4 linked regions of the Arabidopsis thaliana genome follow. The main gene of each other region encodes a partner of the protein of the gene in region 2 in a complex. Each region holds a gene or a part of one and is shown on either strand. Other genes may lie near its edges. The genes, in order: AT3G24880, AT1G02740, AT3G24870 and HAM1.

The links.
Region 1: AT1G02740 (region 2) and AT3G24880 share a complex: the UniProt entries of both Arabidopsis thaliana proteins name them as parts of the nuA4 histone acetyltransferase complex.
Region 3: AT1G02740 (region 2) and AT3G24870 share a complex: the UniProt entries of both Arabidopsis thaliana proteins name them as parts of the nuA4 histone acetyltransferase complex.
Region 4: AT1G02740 (region 2) and HAM1 share a complex: the UniProt entries of both Arabidopsis thaliana proteins name them as parts of the nuA4 histone acetyltransferase complex.

What each region holds. Positions count from the first base shown.
Region 1 is NC_003074.8:9,092,083-9,098,101, forward strand, and holds the start of AT3G24880 (Helicase/SANT-associated, DNA binding protein), read right to left. Parts: upstream 3,456-6,019; coding exon 3,316-3,455; intron 3,208-3,315; coding exon 3,153-3,207; intron 3,060-3,152; coding exon 2,962-3,059; intron 2,886-2,961; coding exon 1,523-2,885; intron 1,415-1,522; coding exon 1,295-1,414; intron 1,087-1,294; coding exon 883-1,086; intron 535-882; coding exon 346-534; intron 250-345; coding exon 169-249; intron 53-168; coding exon 1-52. UniProt on the Arabidopsis thaliana protein: Component of the NuA4 histone acetyltransferase complex which is involved in transcriptional activation of selected genes principally by acetylation of nucleosomal histone H4 and H2A.
Region 2 is NC_003070.9:598,178-604,333, forward strand, and holds AT1G02740 (MRG family protein), read right to left. Parts: upstream 4,023-6,156; 5' UTR 3,845-4,022; coding exon 3,635-3,844; intron 3,530-3,634; coding exon 3,476-3,529; intron 3,384-3,475; coding exon 3,370-3,383; intron 3,196-3,369; coding exon 3,050-3,195; intron 2,800-3,049; coding exon 2,759-2,799; intron 2,649-2,758; coding exon 2,544-2,648; intron 2,337-2,543; coding exon 2,257-2,336; intron 2,058-2,256; coding exon 1,888-2,057; intron 1,800-1,887; coding exon 1,715-1,799; intron 1,636-1,714; coding exon 1,557-1,635; 3' UTR 1,153-1,556; downstream 1-1,152. Other genes in the region: CSLD5 (cellulose synthase-like D5), read right to left, coding at 1-296; AT1G02750 (Drought-responsive family protein), read left to right, coding at 4,496-4,577, 4,803-4,948, 5,424-5,501, 5,598-5,957. UniProt on the Arabidopsis thaliana protein: Chromatin remodeling factor. Acts as a 'reader' protein by binding to H3K4me3 and H3K36me3 to control histone H4 acetylation. Increases the transcriptional levels of the flowering time genes FLC and FT.
Region 3 is NC_003074.8:9,081,958-9,087,934, forward strand, and holds the start of AT3G24870 (Helicase/SANT-associated, DNA binding protein), read right to left. Parts: upstream 3,463-5,977; 5' UTR 3,063-3,462; intron 2,362-3,062; 5' UTR 2,322-2,361; coding exon 2,182-2,321; intron 2,074-2,181; coding exon 2,019-2,073; intron 1,966-2,018; coding exon of another isoform or gene 1,926-1,965; coding exon 1,828-1,925; intron 1,752-1,827; coding exon 389-1,751; intron 281-388; coding exon 161-280; intron 1-160. Other genes in the region: AT3G24880 (Helicase/SANT-associated, DNA binding protein), read right to left, coding at 4,500-5,977. UniProt on the Arabidopsis thaliana protein: Component of the NuA4 histone acetyltransferase complex which is involved in transcriptional activation of selected genes principally by acetylation of nucleosomal histone H4 and H2A.
Region 4 is NC_003076.8:25,827,003-25,832,723, forward strand, and holds HAM1 (histone acetyltransferase of the MYST family 1), read right to left. Parts: upstream 3,668-5,721; 5' UTR 3,502-3,667; coding exon 3,195-3,501; intron 3,057-3,194; coding exon 2,968-3,056; intron 2,886-2,967; coding exon 2,826-2,885; intron 2,731-2,825; coding exon 2,521-2,730; intron 2,387-2,520; coding exon 2,318-2,386; intron 2,193-2,317; coding exon 2,031-2,192; intron 1,938-2,030; coding exon 1,844-1,937; intron 1,763-1,843; coding exon 1,620-1,762; intron 1,535-1,619; coding exon 1,331-1,534; 3' UTR 1,158-1,330; downstream 1-1,157. Other genes in the region: AT5G64600 (O-fucosyltransferase family protein), read left to right, coding at 25-238, 323-507, 600-695, 794-929; C/VIF2 (cell wall / vacuolar inhibitor of fructosidase 2), read left to right, coding at 4,873-5,415. UniProt on the Arabidopsis thaliana protein: Histone acetyltransferase which may be involved in transcriptional activation. Acetylates 'Lys-5' of histone H4 (H4K5ac). Essential for gametophyte development. Involved in DNA repair after UV-B exposure.

The sequences.
Region 1 (6,019 bases), on a different chromosome or scaffold from region 2:
CAGTATCATAGGCTGATGTATCAACCTCCTCCTGCATGCTACTTCCAGACTTCTGGGAACAGAGAAATACTGTTAAATATCTTTGGAGAACAGATATATATTCTCAGGAAAATATACGCCATCAAGGTTACAATATGCGAGCTCCTAGCATAGAACAATCTCACATACCTCACAACGTGTAAGATGCGACTCAATGGACTTAAGGTACACCTCCATTGCACCAGATGGAACTGAATAAAAGAGGCTTGCCTGCACAGTAATAAAGCTCAATTAGCAATAATGTAGAACTATCCACAACAATAGTGTTCAACTGAGGCTGCGGAAAATCTTTTCAGAAATTCATACTTCTGTAAGCTGATCAACCATAGATATATCCAATATTTCTGGGTCGCACATATTGTCAGGTGTTGACGGTGCAGCTGAATGATAGGAGATGGAAGAGTTGTTGTACTTCAAAAATCTACTTGCATATTCCTTGACACCCGCAGCTAAACATCTTCTGCCATTCAAACAATTAGATTCTTGGCAAGTCTCCTGCATACAACCAAGGTATTATTTAGTATGATACCATTAAATTTTACAAAAATCATAACATAAGGAGCGACAGAACCAGAGACTCCTGTAGGTAATTATCAAAGACAATTCAAGCAAATAAGAAAGATCAGGCTTCTCAATCATAAGAAGGAAATATCAGTAGAATTGTGTTGTTTTGCAGTCTAGTCACAAACATAATAATATGGTTTCTCAGAATGTCAGTGTTGTCAATACTTTAATTCAACGAATGTATATATATATGCATAATTCTAATTTAAAAGAAAAGGAAAGAACCATATGATCATCATTGTCATCAAAAACCATAAAAGAGGTCAGACAGTCAAATACCTTAACAATTCCCAAGCTCGTCTCCTCCAGCTCCCCAGGAACCTCGGCCTCCACAGAACTCCAGAATTGTAAGATAGCATTAGATAGGACTGAAGCTATTTTTTTCAGCTTTCTGTGCTGATTTCGTTCCTCAAATCTCAACTGACAAGTCAAAGCAACTCGATGGCAAATTTGTGCGGCAGCAGTCATTTTCCAAAGGCGCTCCTAGAAGATGAAAAGAAAAAAGGTAACAGAATGCAATTAGAACAGTCACGGAAAAATGTTCCAGTAACATAAAAGTGGACAAGCTCATTTAAGAAGACGAATGACCAGACGCCGTAGTAAATAAACAGAACAAAAATCCACAAAATGCAGCATTTTCCATGCAGATATATAGAATTTATGTTAGAAAGATAATTTAACTAGACCAGACCTGCGCAAAATCATTTGCCAGCCATGCCATTTCTTCGAGGACAAAATCCCATTGAGATTTCTCACGGACCTCCACTGGTGCAGTACCACAAGATAATTCGGCAATTCTTTTTTTCTTTGCCTGTTAATGTATTATGTCATACATAAAAAGATGAGTAGGTACATAACATCATAACTTCTACGAAAACTAGATAGCTAAAAATCATCAAGTCAAGATTAAAAAGAAAACCTGTATAATCCGGGCCTCCTCAAGAATAGCGTCCTCCTTGACAGTATCTAACATAACTGCATCTGAGCTCGGCTGATGTTTTAATGCTTCAATGTCAGTTCCTGACAATAAACTATTGCCAACTGTGCAAGAACTTGTGTCTACAGATGCCTGAGGAATTCCAGAGCACAACGTGCTGCTAGGATTTTCAGATAAAATACTACCAACTTTACTGTCATTTTCGAGTACAACCAACCCATCTTGAAGCCTTTTCTCAGTCTCGGAACTTTTCTCCTTAGTTTGCATCTCAGCTGTACTTCTGTGACTTTGATTTTCAATTTTAACCGATTTCATCTGCATTTCACATTCAGGAATGCACTCACTGATAATGGTGGTAGATTGACCTGTCTCATCTTCAATCTTAGTTTTGGTCATTTCACCAACTGTTTGATCTAGTAACCCCTCTACTCTCAAAGTCTTCTGCATAGAGATTTCATCAGAGTCAAGTTTGTCCACTTTATAAAGATCTCTTTCATTATCTACATTTACTTCTACGTTGTTCGCATGAGAAGACTCTGACTCTAACCCATTAGTCCCTGTAGCTCCTCTATTTGTTAAGCTTTCTTCCTCTACCGTGGAATCTCTTAGGCCATTCAGTTGGGTAGAACTATTTTTCTGGCCAGCTATTGTTGCAGCTTTGGGAGAACCACCAGTCGAAACTAGTTGTGCCTTCTCCCCAGCAAGGCCAGACTCTCCAACTGGCAAATATGCAGAGCTTTTACTATACGAAATGTCGGCTTCATCTTTCAATAGACTAGTCTTGGATCCAGCAGTACTCTCTCGTACAACAGGTTCACCATCCACCTTAGTATTCAGCGAATTGCTGGAAACTCTATTTTTCGGAACGATATTACCATTTGAATTTGCAAATACTGGACAAGATACAGAAGTTGTATGCATATCCTTTTGATTGGCTGCTTCGGGAATGCAACCCTTTCCTTCCACTGATCCTCTGCGAATAGATATAGACGTTGCAAGACCACCACGATTCTGAACTAAATCCGTAGAGCTTGACCGTGCTGGATCCCGACTTATCTTCGATCTGTTCCTCCGAGCATACGGGCGAAAGATGGCAGAATCTTCTGTTTCTTTGGTATTCTGGTTGGTGTGTGCTTTGGAAGATCGTTCTGACTCAGAAGTTCTGTTTTGCCTATTAGGATGTCTCAAATTTCTTTCCCCTTCAACTGACTTGTTTTCAGAATCAAACAGTAAAAGATTATCTGCTGTATTGGGTTCAGAAATTGTAGGAACTCCAGGTCTACCGCTACTCTCCACCGAGTCACCATGTGGTGAGGCAGTCAGGGCAAAACTATCTTTGACTTCACTGTGGGGGTTATGGGCAAATAATGATGAGTTATTCCATGAAATTAATGTGGGAACTACACCAAACACGAATGTACCTGTTTACAAAATGCTCTGCTTGCTGATCTGTGAGTGATGTAGATTGGACGCTATGTGAAGTTGCAATACCAAACTTGAAATCCAAGGGATTACCGCCCTGAAGCAGATAGAAGAGTAAAGGCTTGTCATCATAAGTTCTTACACACACACACACAAAACAATTATAGAACAGGGAAATAGGTATTCATACTTTCTCTAGAAACTCCAATTCTCTCCTCCTTTCCTCACGAACATCATACTCTTGCCTGTTGAAATAAGCATCTTTGTTACACATTGGAAATAATAGAAAGCTGTAGAAATTATAGAGCATTTAAACACACTGCAGAAGATCAAGATGTCTCAATCTGAAATACCTTAGCTCCGCTTGAGCCTTCTCAATAGCTGTTCGGCGCGGAGATGTTTTAACACCAATACCACCTCCACTATCGATAACTCCTCCCATGGAATCAACCTCAGCATTTACTAGAAGATATCCTGAAACGCTTCCATGCATCACCACGTCGAATACCCCATCAATTCGAATTCTAGCTTAACTGAAAAATTATATCAAGAGCTTTCAGTATTTACAGCATTCCGAATGATCATACTGCAGAAGTTAGAATCAGTTACACCTAAATGTTGGACCTACAAATAACACTGGTAAAATGTATGTTCTCATGATGCAAAAAGCAGTACCATATGATATCATATAATAGAGTAGCTTATCAGATTCAAGATGTAACTGCTCAGAAGATGTCAAAAGTAAAACAACATTCACTCATATACTCTAGCCACTATCCAAAGGAACATCAAAGTGAAGATAACTCCCCAGAATCTAGTATTTGACTGAGAATTCTATATATCTAACGCCAATACCATTCTGATCCCCGAGAAGCTCACAACTACGTATTCCAGCATAACAGAGATAGAATAGAACTCTAAGATACCAAAGAAATGAAATGTTGCCTCAAGGCAGAGAGGTTCTAGAAGCTTAATCCAACACTAACAACGATTACTAGGAACCAAAGTTAGAAAATGATCAGCTTAAGCTACTTAATGGCGTGCCTACGAACTCTTGAATCAAGTATTGAGCATTTCCAAGCTAAACGAGTAGAAACAAAGAACTACAGAGACACAATTTCAGCAAACAATTCACATTCCTGATAAAAGAAGCACTGGGTTCAAAATCACAGAAGCTCCAGCAAAGCTGGACTCTAGGGTTTGAATAGAAGAGTGAAGGAGAAGAGAGTTAAACCTGGAAATTGAACGTAGAACAGAACAGAACGAAGGCAAAAAGCTAGGGCACAAAACTCGGGCAAAATCACCAAATTCTAAAATTAGTTTCTCTCTCCTAGGGCTTCCAAATTCTTATAAGCTTTTCTTTCAAATCGAAAGACGAGAATCAATTTCTCAGAGAGTAGAAGAGAAGAAGCTCCTCCCAAAACAAGGAATCCATGGAAATTGCTTGCTTGTTGCGAGATTGATTCCTAATTCAGCTATTTTTCGTTTTCAATTTTGGTTTCCCTCTCGGGAGATAAAAAAAAAAATTGAGTTCTCGTTGATGTTTTTTTTTCGTTCTTTCTCTCTCTCTCTCTCTCCTCGACGCAGTATGCGACTCTCTCTCTCTCTCTCCGAATTCTGGGCCTGAGATTTTGACCAAACAAGGCCTTTCTTTTTGTTTGCTTGGTCTTGTTTCGGGCCTTTTTGTAGTAATAAAGTTATAACAGTTTCATGTTGTGTGACATGGATCTCTACAAATCTCAGGCATGTCGCTGGTTTTGTAAAACTATATTTGTCCCACGTTGTCCATAGGCAATTCGGATCGAGTCCGGGTTTTTTGGGTTCGGGTTTAGAAATCTAAGAGACTAATACCAAATAAAACATATGAAAAAATATTAAACTTGAAATTTTCTATAATTTAATAATTTTATTAAACATAAGATAGTAACTTAATTTGTAAAAAGTTACAAATTACAAAATATTAAGAATGTAATACATTTAATCTTATTTTTTATCAAATAGAAATATTATATAAACGCATAAACTAATAAAATAAACTACTAATTTTTACTTTTAAAATAAAATTTAAACTATTTTTTTCTGTTTAGAATTTTCCTTACTAACAACTTCTAGTGGAAGTCTTCTCTCATATTTTCCATGGACATGACAATAGATTCTTTTCTTTTTGTGCAGCCTATTGCGTTGTTTAGTTCTAAGAATAATAATTTTATTAATTTATGAAACAACTTAAAAACAAAAATAAAACTCTTAAACATGAACAATTCCTCACAAATTCCTCAAGTATACCTCAACATGTAAATGATGTAACCATTTTAAATTCCTCAAAAACAATTTTACTATTTACAGCCAAAGTAAAAATTTCGAGTTGGAAAAAAAGAAGTAATTTTTTTTGCCTTCTGCAAAAAGGGAATTTTACTGCCGTCACTGCACAGTGTTGCCAGAAGAAGCTTCCTTCTCCGATACCAATTTTCCTACAACAAATGTCGAAAATGGCTTCAGTGAGTCTCCCTTCTCCCTTCTCAAACCGAACATGTTCTCTTTTTTCCTGGTTTTTCGTATATATGAGTTTCGATTTCGCCCTCTTGAAAGCCTAGTTTCGATCTATGTGGTAGACTTAGATGTATATTCGTGTTCGTGTTGCAATTGATTTCACTGGATCTCTTTGCTCATTTGCTCATTCATTTGTATATTTATGACTTGGTTCTTCTTCTGTTAAGGTTTCCATTGATTGATGAGACTTTTCTTATTTTACTTATTGATGTATCTCTCGTTTGGATTTATCATGATATATGTTTCTTGGTGTTCTGATTCCATTCAGCTTATGTATTATTGGCTTGTTTGTGAGAATTTAGAAGGCAATTGTAATTGACTTGAGTCTTTGCTTAAACGGAAGTGAAACTGTTGAATGTAGTTATGTCTTTAGCTTGCTTTGCCTCTTGTATTTGAACTTAGGTGATATATGAGCAATACTATACAGTTTCTTTTTCGTATTTAGTGTCCTTTGTTTATAATTCTCTCATATTTTTCCATGGACATGACAATAGATTCTTTTCTTTT
Region 2 (6,156 bases):
GTAGGTGGGATATGAACAGTATAGCTCAGAACGCACTCTGAATTAGTCGTCTCCGCCGTTAGATCTTCCACAGACATAGAACAGTATCTTCCTTCATCACCGTTAGATCTCCGATTCCCGCTGCTAATGGAAGTGCGACGCGTGGCTCTTGAGCTTAGAGGAGAGTTTTGGTTGGTGATGACGGAGGCGCGTGGGATAGGACTCGTCAATCCTAAGCTTCTGTCGCCGGATCCTTTACATGGTGTCACCGTTATAGTCACCGGAGATGGTGACTGAGAAGCTGCTGATTTCACCATCTTTGGTTCACAATTAGCAGTGAACCACAAAAATCACGAGAGAAAAAAATCAAAGATTTAGAAGGAAAAGAGTAGTTCTCAAACTTGAAAATCAGAAACTCAGAAGAAGAGAGATTTTGAATCTAAGGAAGAAGAAGAAGAAGCTGAAGCAGCTAGTACGAAGCAGAAGAGCATTATAATTTTCGAAATTCAGAGAGAGAGAGATATAGAGATTATAAAGGAGAAAGGTATTGCTATAAACGGTCGATAGATCTAAACCGTTCATTTTATTCACGTTGCTTCATGTGAGATCGGACGGTGATTATCGAATCCAAACGGTAAGTTTGAAAAGATTACGTGGGACCAGGTCGATCTATAAAGAAGAAAAGTCAAATAAACGGAAAATAATAAAAGAGAAAGAGTGTGTGTATCTCTCTCCCTTTCCGTAACGGTCAAATAAATTTATATTGGAGAAGCTGTTTAAAAATAGTAATATGCTTTTTTCTCATCCCATGTGGTTTGATAATTTTGAACTCATTGGTATACAATTTTTGCATATTATCATCAAATGATGTATAGAGTAGCTGATAAAAATATTATTTGCTCATCATCCCATGGGGTTTGATGATTTTGAACTCATTGTCGTTGGTATACATTTGAATAGTATTATTTTGATATACTACTCGAGTAGATCATTATTCCTTCTGATGCACTGGTAATTTTATATACTAATCTGCCCATTAAACATATAGTTCTGTACTCATAAAACTCAAAAGATTTTGAACACATACTATTATAATATGTTTTCATTCGTATATTCAAAAGATCAACTATGTAGCATATTTACAAATCAAGAGAAGTTACTATGATCATTAATAATTGAAAAGGGAGAAGAGATAATTAAAAATGACTAAAGTTATTTTAAAAATAAATTCTTACTAATACAGTGGAATTTAAAACGCCGAGACAAACACGATAACGACGTTTAAGTACTTTCAAAATCGAGACGGAACATAGTATAATAGTTCTTAGATCATCATTATTGATGATCTCTTAAAACAATTCTTATGCTAAGAGACATGTTTTATAACTAACAAAATTTCTTATATAAGAGACTTTAAGTCACTTTTGTTAATTATAAGACATATCTCTTAACATAAGAGTTATGTTAAGAGACCATCAATAAGGATGGTCAGGATGGTCTTAGGTCTCGTTACAAAATACTACAAAGAGAAGATTCGCTGCACATACTTACAAGAACACGTCATTAGGCACAATTTCCTAACCTTCTTTCTTCTCCATTTCTTCCACTGCTTTGTATGTCGATACAAAAAGCACACTCTGATTCTTCCTCAAGAACCTGCTTTATCATTTTGTTTTTGTTATTTGTCTTTAAATACTTGTAAAAAGAGTTAAGTAGGAGAACAAGAAGAAGAAACCTGAGAATATCAACAAAGTTGTCCTGCAATTCCTTCAATGTCTCTTCTGCCATATTCACATGTACTAGCAACTCCGGTAATTTCACTGCAAAACTCAATATTTATATAGTCTTATCTTGACAACTAAACCACATGATAAAGGCAGATTTGCAGATTACAAAAACTGGCCTTACCAAAGAGTCGCAACAAATGCTCTGCTCCGTACACAGTTGAAGGAGAAACACCCCCTGATACGGATTCCTCGTACTGCTTCCGTTCATTGTTGTAAAGCAACATCACCGGTAAAGCTTTGTCAAAGTAGCAACGCAAGCCTTTCAGAATTTCCTCTAATGAATCTGTTACCCTATATAGATTCACCAAAGAAAGTACTAGATATATCAGAAGCTTGGAATACGCTTTATCTGTCAACCAAATTATCCATGGAGCATATACAAATGATTTATACTCTCTTTAAGTATATGAGAATAGCAACAAAAGAGATTAACAAGTGTAACTGTTGGAAACTGACAGCAGAAAGAAACTATAATCCACAAAGAGCTTACCTGCCATGTTTCTTCATTTGGCTGTCAATGTACTTCTTCAAGATGCCATCCACATTTGGAGAACGCGGAAGTTGCACAAGCTGCTCAGACAATTCCCAAAAATGACTTAAAATAAATTCCTTAACATATGCACCTAAATATGACATTCACAACAAATATATTCATGCGACTACAAGAATATTTTTTCTCTGACTAAATGAATCAAAAGACTATGGTCAACTGCGTCAAAACACACAGAAAAGACCGTTTGAGAATTGAGAGAAGAAATAACAGGCTGATAGAAATACCTTCTGCATCTGAGTAACAAATTCAAAATCGTCAAGAAGTTGCTTCCTTAATGCTGGTGGAATATTGAAACTTAAAAGGTTGTCAGAGGGAAGCACATTCTTCTCCTGTATTCAGCAAACAACAAGACATGAGTAAGACTCCCCTGATTAAAAAAATCCCTGGATATTTGGAAGCTGAAAGATTAAGCAAATACATCCACTAAAGGAGCGATTACCGTATCAACAGAATCTTGCTTCCGCTTTCTTCCTCTAGCAACTGCAAAAATTAAGAAAATATTGAACAAAATCTCAGCTGACACAATATCTCAACTGACACAATATCTCAACTAACAACGAAAGATGTGTATGTATACTTTAATCTCAACAACTTCTACTTAGTCGACATAGAATAAAGCAAGCAAGACCAAATGAGAGTCCCTGATAGAGACTCTGAATATCCACAAAAGCAGCAAGATATCCATCGAGACAAGAATATGCAAAACAAACAAAAGAAGAAGCTGACTGACCATTAGGGCTTCTAGGTTTCATCTTTGACACTTTCCAAGCCATAGCACTCTTAATCCCTTGCTGTTTCAAACCCTGTTCTTTCTGTTTCTCAATATTCTCATCTGAATGTTTCAACAGACAGTCCAGCCTTATCCATTCGTCCCAACTATCATTGTATAGAAGAGATACAAGAGTCAAAGACTTTTTTACATTATCAAAAAACTGAGACTTGGCAAACAAATCAGTAAATCACCATATGAAGAATTCTCTTATTTATAAATAGTTTCAAATGATTTCAAACCGATTAGAAGCCAGTAACTATATTGGATGAAGCTCTAACCTTTTGTTCCAACCCTGCCAAAAGAAATCATTTACATCTTCAAAACTAAAGATAGAAGCAAAATAGCTCAAAAGAATGATTTTAAACATATACAGTATCTACTTACAATGTAATGCACAAAATATTTCCATTCATTGTCTTTAAATTCAACTTTAAGAACCTGAGAATATTATTATAAAAAAAAAAAAGGAAACGATCAGAGACATAAAGCATAAGCAGAGAAGAACACTCTAATTCAAGAATACAGAGAGTGTATTTCACTAACCTTGGCTTCGTAGAAGCAATCACTGTGTTTGGCTAAAACTCTCTCTCCTTCTTCGAAGTGGCCGGGAGGAGCAGGTAGCAGAAGAAGAGGCAAATCTTCTCCGTCACAATCGGTGTTGGTCTCTGTATCAGAACCAGAGTCCCGTCGTGTGTCTCCGATGAAATCATCGGTTGTTAGATCCGTCTCGGCGGCGGCGTTAGGGCTTCCCATCTCAAAAAGAGGAGGAGAAGAAAAGAGTAAAGAGAGCTTAAGAGCCCTTTCGTCTTCTTCCACGGCTCGTCTCACGTCGAAGCGACAAAGGTAAATGACAAAAAAAAAAACTCACTCAAAGTTGTTGAATCTCAACGCGATTTTGTCTGAAAATTTCCGGGAAAATTGGGATTTTCCGTCTATCAGAATCTAAAAATTCTCAGATTTTAACATGGGCTTTTATTATTAGGCCTACAAGCCCATTTAAATAATTTCAAAATCTTGACTTCAAGCCCATTTATATCATTTCAAAATCTTGACTTTAAGCCCATTTATATAATTTCAAGTCAGGCCTTTACTGATAATTAACTTGGGGAGCAATGCAATAACAGTAACATCCTTACAAGAAAAGGACAAAAACACCCCTGAGTTAGCTGAGAAAAAGGCTCAGTGCAATGTAAGGGTATAATAGTAGTTCACTCTTACCACCCGAAGTATTCTTGTCCATTAAGACTCGGCGGATTAAAAAAAGGTTTGGCCTTTCCGTGGAGTAGTTTCTTGACATTTTCTTTCTGCTATCTCTTACACAATTGGGTATTTAGCTGACACGACGAAGAAGGTCTCTCATCAATTATCTGAGATTTTTACATAAGAAAGGCTCCGACAAAGCAGATGGAAGACGATATGTGGTGCGTTAGCTCATCTGGTTCTTCTAGAAGCTATCGATCGGAAACTGCTGCTAAGTATCAATCAGGTTTATTATCCAAATCCCCTCAATTTTTCTTTCAAACTTCATTTTTAGGGTTTATGATTGAAGATTGGTCTTAATTGGGTTTCGATTGAGTTGAGTTCTGTTTTGATGACTTTTTGTAGTTGGTCGTTTAAGTTAAAAATTGTAGCTTTACGTTTTGCTTTTTAGATGAGAGAAGACTTTTTTTTTCTCTTTTGCTCTCGAGTTAATTAGTGGTGAATATTTCAGGGCCTTATCAAGATTTGGAAGAGTTTGAAGAAGTTGACGACGATATAGCAGTGGAGTATCCATGCCCGTTTTGCGCAAGTGATTATGATTTAGTTGAATTGTGTCACCATATCGACGAAGAACATCGTCATGAAGCTAACAATGGGGTTTGTGAATTCACTTCCTATCTCTCCTGCTCTTTTCATTTCACACTCAAGCTTCACATGAAGCAGTTTTACACAGCTTAGTTATTCGGATTGTGGGAAACATAACTTCAATCTATAATTTTGATTAGGATTTGTTTTAGATTGATGCGTTTGAGAATCTGATTGCTATTGCAAATAGTTTTAATAGAGAAACATGCCACTCTTATCTTAAGTTACTCTTTGGGTTTTACATAACTCTCCATTGATCAGTTTAAGGTTTTAGGATATTAATACTTTTGACACTTTTTTTGGCTTTACATACTTGCTATAGAGAGTAGGTGACTTGAGCTCTCTGTTTTGAAGCATAGATTGGTTTTACGAGCTAAAGAAATGAATATATAAGTAGTATGATGGAACATTATTAATCTGGTTCCGTGAATTGTCATGTGGTAGCATCATCTTACAATTCGTTTTGGTTGTTTTGTGGTTTTTGTAGATATGTCCTGTATGTAGCAAAAGGGTGAAGATGCATATGGTGGATCATATAACATCACATCATAGAGATGTCTTGAAGATATCCTTTTTTGTTTCTTTTCAAAACCTTTCAAGTCAAATTTCCGTCGCTATAATGAATGTGATTTATTTGAAATTCCTTGACCGATAATTTTACAGTGAGCAGAAGGAAATGTCTTACAGGGAAGATCCATATTTATCTGATAAATATCTTCAACCTCATCTTGATGAGTTGCCACCATCTATGAATCATCATCAGCATCCCTCTAAACATGTTTCCGATCAATTTTTATCGTTCATCAACAATTCTGCATTACCAAATCAGACCAAGCTTGTGCTGCCTGATTCAAGTGTAGAAGACAAGAATCCGATTAAGGATTCGTCAGCAGCAAAAGAGGGTACATCGTCGTGTCCTTTATCGGATAGTGATAAATTGGAGAAGGCAAAGAAGTGTGAGTTTGTACAGGGACTGTTGTCATCAGCCATGTTTGATGATGAATGTGACTCTTCTGAGTAAAATAAAGATGTGAAGTCGCCAATGGGAAAGGCAGGTGATTGTCATTGTTGTAATTTTATTCAGCTCTATTTATATATATGCATCTTTTTTACAGACATAACACTAGCTTTAGCCTTATAATATAAGCTGATGAGTTTTCAGTTTGTTTCTTCACAAGAATCTTTTGTCGCAGAGCACCGTCCTTGCAAATTTCTTTCCT
Region 3 (5,977 bases), on a different chromosome or scaffold from region 2:
CGGAAAAATGTTCCAGTAACATAAAAGTGGACAAGCTCATTTAAGAAGACGAATGACCAGACGCCGTAGTAAATAAACAGAACAAAAATCCACAAAATGCAGCATTTTCCATGCAGATATATAGAATTTATGTTAGAAAGATAATTTAACTAGACCAGACCTGCGCAAAATCATTTGCCAGCCATGCCATTTCTTCGAGGACAAAATCCCATTGAGATTTCTCACGGACCTCCACTGGTGCAGTACCACAAGATAATTCGGCAATTCTTTTTTTCTTTGCCTGTTAATGTATTATGTCATACATAAAAAGATGAGTAGGTACATAACATCATAACTTCTACGAAAACTAGATAGCTAAAAATCATCAAGTCAAGATTAAAAAGAAAACCTGTATAATCCGGGCCTCCTCAAGAATAGCGTCCTCCTTGACAGTATCTAACATAACTGCATCTGAGCTCGGCTGATGTTTTAATGCTTCAATGTCAGTTCCTGACAATAAACTATTGCCAACTGTGCAAGAACTTGTGTCTACAGATGCCTGAGGAATTCCAGAGCACAACGTGCTGCTAGGATTTTCAGATAAAATACTACCAACTTTACTGTCATTTTCGAGTACAACCAACCCATCTTGAAGCCTTTTCTCAGTCTCGGAACTTTTCTCCTTAGTTTGCATCTCAGCTGTACTTCTGTGACTTTGATTTTCAATTTTAACCGATTTCATCTGCATTTCACATTCAGGAATGCACTCACTGATAATGGTGGTAGATTGACCTGTCTCATCTTCAATCTTAGTTTTGGTCATTTCACCAACTGTTTGATCTAGTAACCCCTCTACTCTCAAAGTCTTCTGCATAGAGATTTCATCAGAGTCAAGTTTGTCCACTTTATAAAGATCTCTTTCATTATCTACATTTACTTCTACGTTGTTCGCATGAGAAGACTCTGACTCTAACCCATTAGTCCCTGTAGCTCCTCTATTTGTTAAGCTTTCTTCCTCTACCGTGGAATCTCTTAGGCCATTCAGTTGGGTAGAACTATTTTTCTGGCCAGCTATTGTTGCAGCTTTGGGAGAACCACCAGTCGAAACTAGTTGTGCCTTCTCCCCAGCAAGGCCAGACTCTCCAACTGGCAAATATGCAGAGCTTTTACTATACGAAATGTCGGCTTCATCTTTCAATAGACTAGTCTTGGATCCAGCAGTACTCTCTCGTACAACAGGTTCACCATCCACCTTAGTATTCAGCGAATTGCTGGAAACTCTATTTTTCGGAACGATATTACCATTTGAATTTGCAAATACTGGACAAGATACAGAAGTTGTATGCATATCCTTTTGATTGGCTGCTTCGGGAATGCAACCCTTTCCTTCCACTGATCCTCTGCGAATAGATATAGACGTTGCAAGACCACCACGATTCTGAACTAAATCCGTAGAGCTTGACCGTGCTGGATCCCGACTTATCTTCGATCTGTTCCTCCGAGCATACGGGCGAAAGATGGCAGAATCTTCTGTTTCTTTGGTATTCTGGTTGGTGTGTGCTTTGGAAGATCGTTCTGACTCAGAAGTTCTGTTTTGCCTATTAGGATGTCTCAAATTTCTTTCCCCTTCAACTGACTTGTTTTCAGAATCAAACAGTAAAAGATTATCTGCTGTATTGGGTTCAGAAATTGTAGGAACTCCAGGTCTACCGCTACTCTCCACCGAGTCACCATGTGGTGAGGCAGTCAGGGCAAAACTATCTTTGACTTCACTGTGGGGGTTATGGGCAAATAATGATGAGTTATTCCATGAAATTAATGTGGGAACTACACCAAACACGAATGTACCTGTTTACAAAATGCTCTGCTTGCTGATCTGTGAGTGATGTAGATTGGACGCTATGTGAAGTTGCAATACCAAACTTGAAATCCAAGGGATTACCGCCCTGAAGCAGATAGAAGAGTAAAGGCTTGTCATCATAAGTTCTTACACACACACACACAAAACAATTATAGAACAGGGAAATAGGTATTCATACTTTCTCTAGAAACTCCAATTCTCTCCTCCTTTCCTCACGAACATCATACTCTTGCCTGTTGAAATAAGCATCTTTGTTACACATTGGAAATAATAGAAAGCTGTAGAAATTATAGAGCATTTAAACACACTGCAGAAGATCAAGATGTCTCAATCTGAAATACCTTAGCTCCGCTTGAGCCTTCTCAATAGCTGTTCGGCGCGGAGATGTTTTAACACCAATACCACCTCCACTATCGATAACTCCTCCCATGGAATCAACCTCAGCATTTACTAGAAGATATCCTGAAACGCTTCCATGCATCACCACGTCGAATACCCCATCAATTCGAATTCTAGCTTAACTGAAAAATTATATCAAGAGCTTTCAGTATTTACAGCATTCCGAATGATCATACTGCAGAAGTTAGAATCAGTTACACCTAAATGTTGGACCTACAAATAACACTGGTAAAATGTATGTTCTCATGATGCAAAAAGCAGTACCATATGATATCATATAATAGAGTAGCTTATCAGATTCAAGATGTAACTGCTCAGAAGATGTCAAAAGTAAAACAACATTCACTCATATACTCTAGCCACTATCCAAAGGAACATCAAAGTGAAGATAACTCCCCAGAATCTAGTATTTGACTGAGAATTCTATATATCTAACGCCAATACCATTCTGATCCCCGAGAAGCTCACAACTACGTATTCCAGCATAACAGAGATAGAATAGAACTCTAAGATACCAAAGAAATGAAATGTTGCCTCAAGGCAGAGAGGTTCTAGAAGCTTAATCCAACACTAACAACGATTACTAGGAACCAAAGTTAGAAAATGATCAGCTTAAGCTACTTAATGGCGTGCCTACGAACTCTTGAATCAAGTATTGAGCATTTCCAAGCTAAACGAGTAGAAACAAAGAACTACAGAGACACAATTTCAGCAAACAATTCACATTCCTGATAAAAGAAGCACTGGGTTCAAAATCACAGAAGCTCCAGCAAAGCTGGACTCTAGGGTTTGAATAGAAGAGTGAAGGAGAAGAGAGTTAAACCTGGAAATTGAACGTAGAACAGAACAGAACGAAGGCAAAAAGCTAGGGCACAAAACTCGGGCAAAATCACCAAATTCTAAAATTAGTTTCTCTCTCCTAGGGCTTCCAAATTCTTATAAGCTTTTCTTTCAAATCGAAAGACGAGAATCAATTTCTCAGAGAGTAGAAGAGAAGAAGCTCCTCCCAAAACAAGGAATCCATGGAAATTGCTTGCTTGTTGCGAGATTGATTCCTAATTCAGCTATTTTTCGTTTTCAATTTTGGTTTCCCTCTCGGGAGATAAAAAAAAAAATTGAGTTCTCGTTGATGTTTTTTTTTCGTTCTTTCTCTCTCTCTCTCTCTCCTCGACGCAGTATGCGACTCTCTCTCTCTCTCTCCGAATTCTGGGCCTGAGATTTTGACCAAACAAGGCCTTTCTTTTTGTTTGCTTGGTCTTGTTTCGGGCCTTTTTGTAGTAATAAAGTTATAACAGTTTCATGTTGTGTGACATGGATCTCTACAAATCTCAGGCATGTCGCTGGTTTTGTAAAACTATATTTGTCCCACGTTGTCCATAGGCAATTCGGATCGAGTCCGGGTCGGAGTTTTCGGTTTCGGGTTTAGAAATCTAGGACGCATTCGGGTATATTAAAATTTGGGTTTAGATCGGATGTGGATCAGATATTTTGGGTTCGGATTCGGGTTTATCCGAAGTATCCAAAAAATCTAAAATTTGATTCAGAGTTCTCAAACTCAGCTTCTTCAATTTATCAACAATGCTTTTGATTCTTTCTAACGTAGAGATTTAGTCATTGTTGCTTTTAGATTTGTAACATAGGTAACGGATTTGAAGAAATGCACTATGTAAGCTAATGTTTATGGGAGTGAAGTGAACTTTTTTTTTAACCATAAAAGAACAATGATACATTCATCAAATTAACCTAAACCTACAAGAGAATAAGTTAGAGGAAAAGGTTAAAAAAGGGCCCTAAGTATATGCCACAAGGATGGAGGAGTAGAGACTTCTATACAAAACATTATAAACTGTTTCTACTCTCTCCCAAACCAAAAGATGGGAAGAAGAAGAGACTACTTCTCTATGATGCAAGTGGGTAATTTACATTATGATATACCTTCTTCTCTTTGTGTTCATCAAAAGAGGCAAAAAGACCTGCATGAATTTTATCCTATCCACCAACTTCTTCCCTATTGATCTCCCTCTGGCCTTACCAAATCTGCAAACTCCACAATCTGTAGAGTTTGTTATGTTATACTCTCAGCCAAATCCAAAGACCACCAGCAGCTTCAAGATGTTAATGCCAAAAAGAGACCCGACTCTGAAGGTGGAGGACACAAACCAGTTTGGGTTCCTGTACAGGGTTGTTGTCGGTAAGGGCCAGCGTTAAGCTTTGCAGGATCTACAGCTACTCAAGGTTCTAGGTTCATCTGTCATGCCTCTCATTCCACTTTTGTATCAGGAGGCTTGGAAGATGATAATTCTTGTGCTTCTTCTAAATGAGGCTGCTCCTCAGAAGCAAGGTGTTTCTGATTTTGTACAGTCGGCTTCTCTGGCAATTTCGGTCTCTTTTCTTCTGAAGGTAGAGACTGTTGTTGTCTCTGTGTAACGCCCTTGATCCCGTGCTTTTGAGCTAGTCCTTGGTTCGGTGTTGATACTGGATCATTTCCTGCTGAATCTGTATTGGAACTGTTTACTACTTTCGAAGCAGTGATTTGCACAGAAGCAACACAAGATGGAGGTTCCAAAGCAGGCACCGCAGTAGAACCAACTGCTTTTATGTTTTTCAAATCATTACTCGCTTGAGGCATACCCTTGGTCGTACCCATACTAACAGTTTGGGTAGTATTGGTTACAGACTGTGGAACACGTGGCATGCGTTCAGCTTGGGACTTCTTTGATAACTCAGAGTTCCCTAGATGATTATGTTGAACAACTCGCTGAGCTGTTGATTGCACTTGATTGCGCTGCTTTTGGTGTATCAACAAATGCTGATGGTTAGAAGGTGCAACCGCTGGTGCAATTGACGGGCTAGAGGTGGATAAAATATTACATGGGGTCGCAGGTGAGCTCTGGCCTTGGATGCTATTGTCTGAATGTAATTGCATCTGTTGTTGAGGGGATGGAGGCAAAGCACCAGGGAATGATTTTGGCAGTTGCTGTGAATGATTTGAAGACAAGGGAGAAACAAATGGTTTAGACTGCAGATTCGTGCTCGTGGTAGTCCCCACACTAGACTGCTGATCAGGCCTAACTGGAACCGCTATCTCTCCTTTTTCAGTAGCCTGGTTTCCTTGGGGCATGGTAAGGCCATTCAGGTGTGACTGATCAACAGTGATGTTCTGATGGATCATGTTGCCTCTACCCATCCCCTTCAGTTGTTTATTCAGCTGTTGACCTTGTGTTGGCTGCCGCTGGTGTGGATGCTGTCTTGCAGACTGCTGAAGTTGTCGCTGCCTTTGTTTTCCAGCTTGATTGTTCACTCCAGAAGTACCAGACTGAGGACTCCTACCCAAACCATGAAGCGCCAACTGAGATTTTTGAGGTTTCTGTTGTGCCATAGCATTAATATTAGGAGAGGGCGACACCGGGGGCATGGATAATGGCTGGGGCGAAACAGGTGGTTGAGTCTGAGGACTGTTTTGTGGAGAAGAAGAAACAGAAGAGCCCTGAGGTTGTTGTACATGTGGCATCATAGAACCAGATGCTGGAAACTGCTGTTGCTGTTGCTGTTGCTGCAAATACCTCTGGTGAATTTGTCTTTGACGGATAGCAAATGCTTCTTGCTGTGCCCCAGTGGCTTGACTTGGGCTCTGGAGATGAGGATGATGCGAGTTGCCAAGCACATGTGACTGCGGTGACATCTGATGCTGCTGGGAAAGATGGCCTGGGTACGCCTGAACAGGAGTTGTCTGGTTGG
Region 4 (5,721 bases), on a different chromosome or scaffold from region 2:
CAATATGTTATCTGTTGGTCACAGGGAAAGTACAAGCCATTGGAAGATCAAAAGTATAAATTCAACAGAGCAGAGAGAGGAAGGCCTTTGTCCATTGACTCCAAAAGAAGTGGGAATATTTCTGAAAGGTCTCGGATATTCTCAGTCAACAGTCATATATATTGCAGCAGGGGAAATCTATGGGGGTGATGATAGACTCTCTGAGCTTAAGTCGCGCTTCCCAAATCTGGTTTTTAAGGTCTGTTCAACCACCTCTAATCTTTCATGTTACTGACAATCTAAAGATGATAAATGTTTATGTTTCATGTACTGGATTTTGTAGGAAACGCTTGCTGGGAACGAAGAGTTAAAAGGTTTCACTGGCCATGCGACTAAAACGGCTGCTCTTGATTACATAATTTCTGTTGAGAGTGATGTGTTTGTTCCTTCACATTCTGGAAACATGGCAAGAGCAGTTGAAGGTCACCGCAGATTTCTAGGGCATCGCAGGACTATCACTCCCGACAGGTTCTATCTCCTTCCTTCTGTTACCTTAAAAAAAAGCATTAATCTTTTAGTCATTTTGTTATAGGCCATGACAAGTTTGGTGTTGTATGCAGGAAAGGACTAGTGAAACTCTTCGTTAAGATGGAGAGAGGACAGCTAAAAGAAGGACCAAAGTTGTCCAATTTTGTGAATCAAATGCATAAAGACAGGTAGCAAAAGAGTCATACGTTTGCTTCTTAAACAATAAACCTATAAAAAAAAGCACATCTTTGATGCGAGAAGAGGATTTGTTTGATCGGTTTTGCAGACAAGGTGCACCGAGGAGAAGGAAAGGACCAACGCAGGGGATCAAAGGACGTGCACGGTTTAGAACTGAAGAAGCCTTTTATGAGAATCCATATCCAGAGTGTATTTGCAGTTCAAAGGAGCACAAAGAACCCTAACTAAAATTTTCCAAACTTTTTTTGTTCTGTATCATTACATCTCATTTATAGTCATCTTAATTATAGTTTTCACATATCCCTTGATATCTTTTCTGTTTTTGATATCCGGAGATCTCTAGCCGAAGTAGAAAGCCAGAAATTTTTAACATTTAGTTATAAAACTTCTCTTTCGGCATTTTTTCAAATATTCCAAATTTTAACCAAACTGTTGTCAATCAGAATGGAACAAGAATGAAACACCAAAGTTACTACTGATCGTTTTACCATCCAGACAAAAGATTCCTACAGTTACAAGATCTATTGAACAGAGTGCGTGTTAAATTGTTACAGACAAAAGTCATCTAAGGATATGCAGATTAAAAGTAGACCATAACCATAACTATTTGAAGTGTAATGCCCTCTTAGCTCTGCTCTTTGTAAGGAGTCCATATCATTTTGCTCACATCCACATCAAGACCACCTCGGCCTGCCGCTTTCAAGTGTCGGTCCAGTACCTTAGGATCCGCGCAGATTACGTGTTGTCCTTTCCTGTATTGTATCAGTTCCAAGCTCTGCAGGGTGCTTAATATATCTTCTGCTTTAATCGCTGTCATGTCGCTCAGCTCCTACATTTAAAAAAGTTGAATATATGAATTATTCTGTTGACAGATAGGCTAAAAAGGATCATTACGGATATATAGATATACATACCTTGATAGATATGTTTCCCTTGTGCTTTTTCAAAATGTCTAATAAAATCCGAGTCCAGTAACCTCTGTAACTCACTAACCCTAGATCAGAGAGCGGCCTTTCCGGTGTCCCGACTTTGCCCTCTTTCTTTGAGAGTTCATAGGCTATAACACAATATAACGTGTAAGCTTTATAGAGAGAGGTGAGAACAAATAAGAAGAGTTGAATGAAAAACAAAAACTCACAGAAGGCTATTAAGAATTTGCCATAGCCCTTCCTTTGATATGGAGGAAGTGTAAGGATGCAAGCCAAGTTGTAAGCTTCTTCTGAGTGTTTTTCCTGTACCAACAGAAATTGCATTTTTTTCATCAGACAATCAAATTGAAACAGAACATGTATATAACAGACCCAAGAGCCAAAGTGTGCTGATACCTTTGAAAAGTATCCAACCATGTGGCATCCACGATCATCACATTCACAGAGAATATAGAACAGGAACAAATCAACGTCATAGTAAAGAGTTTTGTGGTCAAGAAATAACTTTGCCAGATAACAGAGGTTCTGTGCATAGACCTTATTCTTCTTGCCATCCACCTGTAAGATATTACAAATAAACTCCCAGGTCGTGAAAATTCAATTCTAAATACATTTATTAGCTTCCAAACAAGTATCGTAAGCCTAAAGCAAACAGTTTAAGGATGAAAACATCAATCTATTACCTCAAACATTGACAAAGTAGAGCTTCGATAGATTTCATCCCCAGGGGGGTGCTTCAAATCGCATTTCCTCTGCATAGATAAAAGACGATTGAGCAAAACTTAAGTAAAAAGAATGACCCATAAAAGGTATGTGTGAAACTAAAAATAACTGTAAAGACAAAACAATTAAAATGCTACAAATGATAAAAAAAACAGTTGCTCACCATATGTCTTTGAAGCTGCTCTTTGCGCTTCATAAAACTGAGGCAAAACTCACAGAAAAAGAGCTTCACGCAGTCATTGTATTCTGGAGGAAAAGGAGAGAAGTACCACGTCTCAATCTCATACTTCCCAAGCTCAATCGTAGCTATGTTCTTCACTTTCGTGAACTCCTCGTGTTCACGCAAACTGGCAGCATCCAGCTCTTCATGACCCTATACAAAATATCGAAAAACATCAGAATATATAGCATGCCACACAGTTCACTAAAACCACAACAAAGTTTAACTAACTTAACCAATCACTTTACCTCTACATGAGTCTCATCAATCTTCCGTTTCTGGTGTCGTGTCATCTTCAAGCTAGTCACCTATTACCACAAACAAACTTCTATGTTTCAGTGCAAACTACGGAGAGGAAAGCTCAAGACTTTGAAGAAAAATGGCTAATACCTTGTCTTCAACTTTTTCATCTAAAGCACACTCTACTGAATCAAGGTCAAGCTGTTCAAGCTTAATCCATTCATCCAATCTTCTATTAACTGCAGTTTCACAAGAGTTGTGATACTCAAAACAACTTGAATTGCAAAGCCCTCTAATTCAATTCTTCGAAATTTCAGCTCCAATCTATAAACCCTAGATTCACAAATTTCAGATAGAGAAAGGAGGAAACGACATACACTCTGTGTAATGAACGTAGTACTCGTAATCATTGTGACCACCATTATAATTCTTTCGGCGCTCGATAACCTTCACCGGATGGTATTTTCCGTCTCTCCATTGACACATCACGCGAGTACCAACCTCGAGCGGAAGCACCCCCATTCTTCTCTTCTTCGAAGCATCCGATTCTGAATTCGTGAGAGCGAGTATCGCACCAGAAGTATGATTCTGATTCGCATCTCCGCCGTTGGTTGCCGGATTATTATGGTTCGACGCCGGTGTGGCGATTATCATCGCCGTCTCTGTATCCGCAGACGATCCCATTTCTTTAGTCGGGTCGGAGATTTTTTCCGGGTGGATTCTTTTCTCATACGGATAAAGAACATCATTTGGAAGGAGTGTGGCCCAATAACAACTTTGAATGCTCAATTGGGCCTATCTTTATAATTGGCCTGTACTATATGTCTCTCTTACCGTCCTTTTTTTTTGGGTGCAAAAAATCTCTTACCGTCGTTAATACACGTTTTATAACTGTTGGCTTATGTTTAGTTTTATAATCGCCAGGTTACATTTAAAGAATGATTAGTAGGAGCAAACAATTTATAAAAACTAAAGAGATAATGAGAGATAAATAATAAGTGACAGAGTCAGTATTTTGTCGTGAATGGGAAACAGCCAAACAAGGCTTTATGATTCGTACTAATCACAAGATTCACAGATCAAAAAATCACAAAGTTCCAAGAAGCAAAGACGAAAAACACAACTCATCATCGTGTCCTTGAAGTTATGGTCATAGATTCGCACACCATGTTCCTCTAGATTAACCAAAATGATTTTTTATGAACAAAAAAGATTCACATGGTCACTTTACTGTATCTTGTATGTGAAATTTTACATCTCATTTTTCTTAAAGAATGTTTTACTTTTACATACTATCAATTTACTTTTATTTTTCGGTTATGAATTGAAGTGGATGACTTACTTACTTTTGAAATTCGAATGAAGAAAAATAGAATTGATTCCTATTTCAGTTGTTCACATGTAAACACGTTATATACTTATATGGCAACTTGACTAAAGGGAAAATTTAAATAAAATGATTTAATTTGGTGACATATATTCATCTTTCTAATTTTTGTAGCTACTACACACCGTGTATCCTTTTTCATAATAATGATGTGAAATTGTATAATTGTAAGAAAAAATGAGAAAAGAGTGACGAAATCTTTAAAACAGACAGAATTTTTTTGGTTGAGCAAACAAAACTTAGTTATCAAATTTTGGAAATAACGTGTTGAAGTGGCTGATTCTTTTACCTACAATGATTGATTCATCGACAAATATCTTGTTCGTATATCATCAATTCTAAATTCTTCAAAAATAAAGTAAAGATACTCAAATGTAATGAAATGACGAAGCTGGAAAAACGTATTTTAATTTAATTCATTATTTGACCAACAATTTGCATCATGTGAATTTAAATCTTGATAGGTCAATATTAGTATAAACTACCACACTACATGCGAAAATCATTCCTCATTTAGTGCAATTACAAATGATAAACGGAAACGTTATCATTTGTATTTATTTTGTAAAATATGTAATTCAAGAAACTGCTCAGAATATAAAGACAAGAATCCTCTTTCTTCCATCTCTATCTCTCCGTAAACAGTTGCTCAAAACCTTCTTCCTGAAATGGCTTCTTCTCTCATCTTCCTCCTCCTCGTTACCCTAACCTTTTCAGCATCAACCCTAATCTCAGCCAAATCCAACACAACAACAATAATCGAATCAACTTGCAAAACCACAAACTACTACAAATTCTGCGTCTCAGCTCTCAAATCCGACCCAAGAAGTCCCACAGCCGACACAAAAGGTCTCGCCTCCATTATGGTCGGCGTTGGTATGACAAACGCCACCTCCACCGCAAATTACATCGCTGGAAACCTATCCGCCACCGTAAAAGACACCGTTCTCAAAAAGGTCTTACAAGATTGCTCCGAGAAGTATGCTCTCGCCGCTGATTCTCTCCGGCTGACGATTCAAGATCTTGATGATGAAGCTTATGACTATGCCTCCATGCATGTGTTGGCGGCGCAGGATTATCCTAATGTTTGCCGGAATATTTTTAGGCGGGTTAAAGGGTTGGCTTATCCGGTGGAGATTCGCCGGCGTGAAGCTAGTCTGAGACGTATTTGTGGTGTTGTCTCCGGGATTCTTGATCGCCTTGTTGAATGATTTACATTTGCATTAACTACTTTCGTAAAATCTCTATTTAAATTATCGTATTTCATGAATTTAATATGACCGTTACTTTATTACTTTCGTCTTTGCTACAACTTTCAAATTGCCAAGAAGAACAATCTTTAGAGATCACCTGAATATTTGGAATTTAATATTTCTCAATCAATTGACTAATCATACCAAAAATTTTAAGTGACGAAGATTTGGGGGAAAAGGCTTCTTAAGAAATGGGAAGTACTAGAGATATTTGTATATTCGTTATATATCTTTAGGTAACTTTTTGCTTTATCTGTATGCATT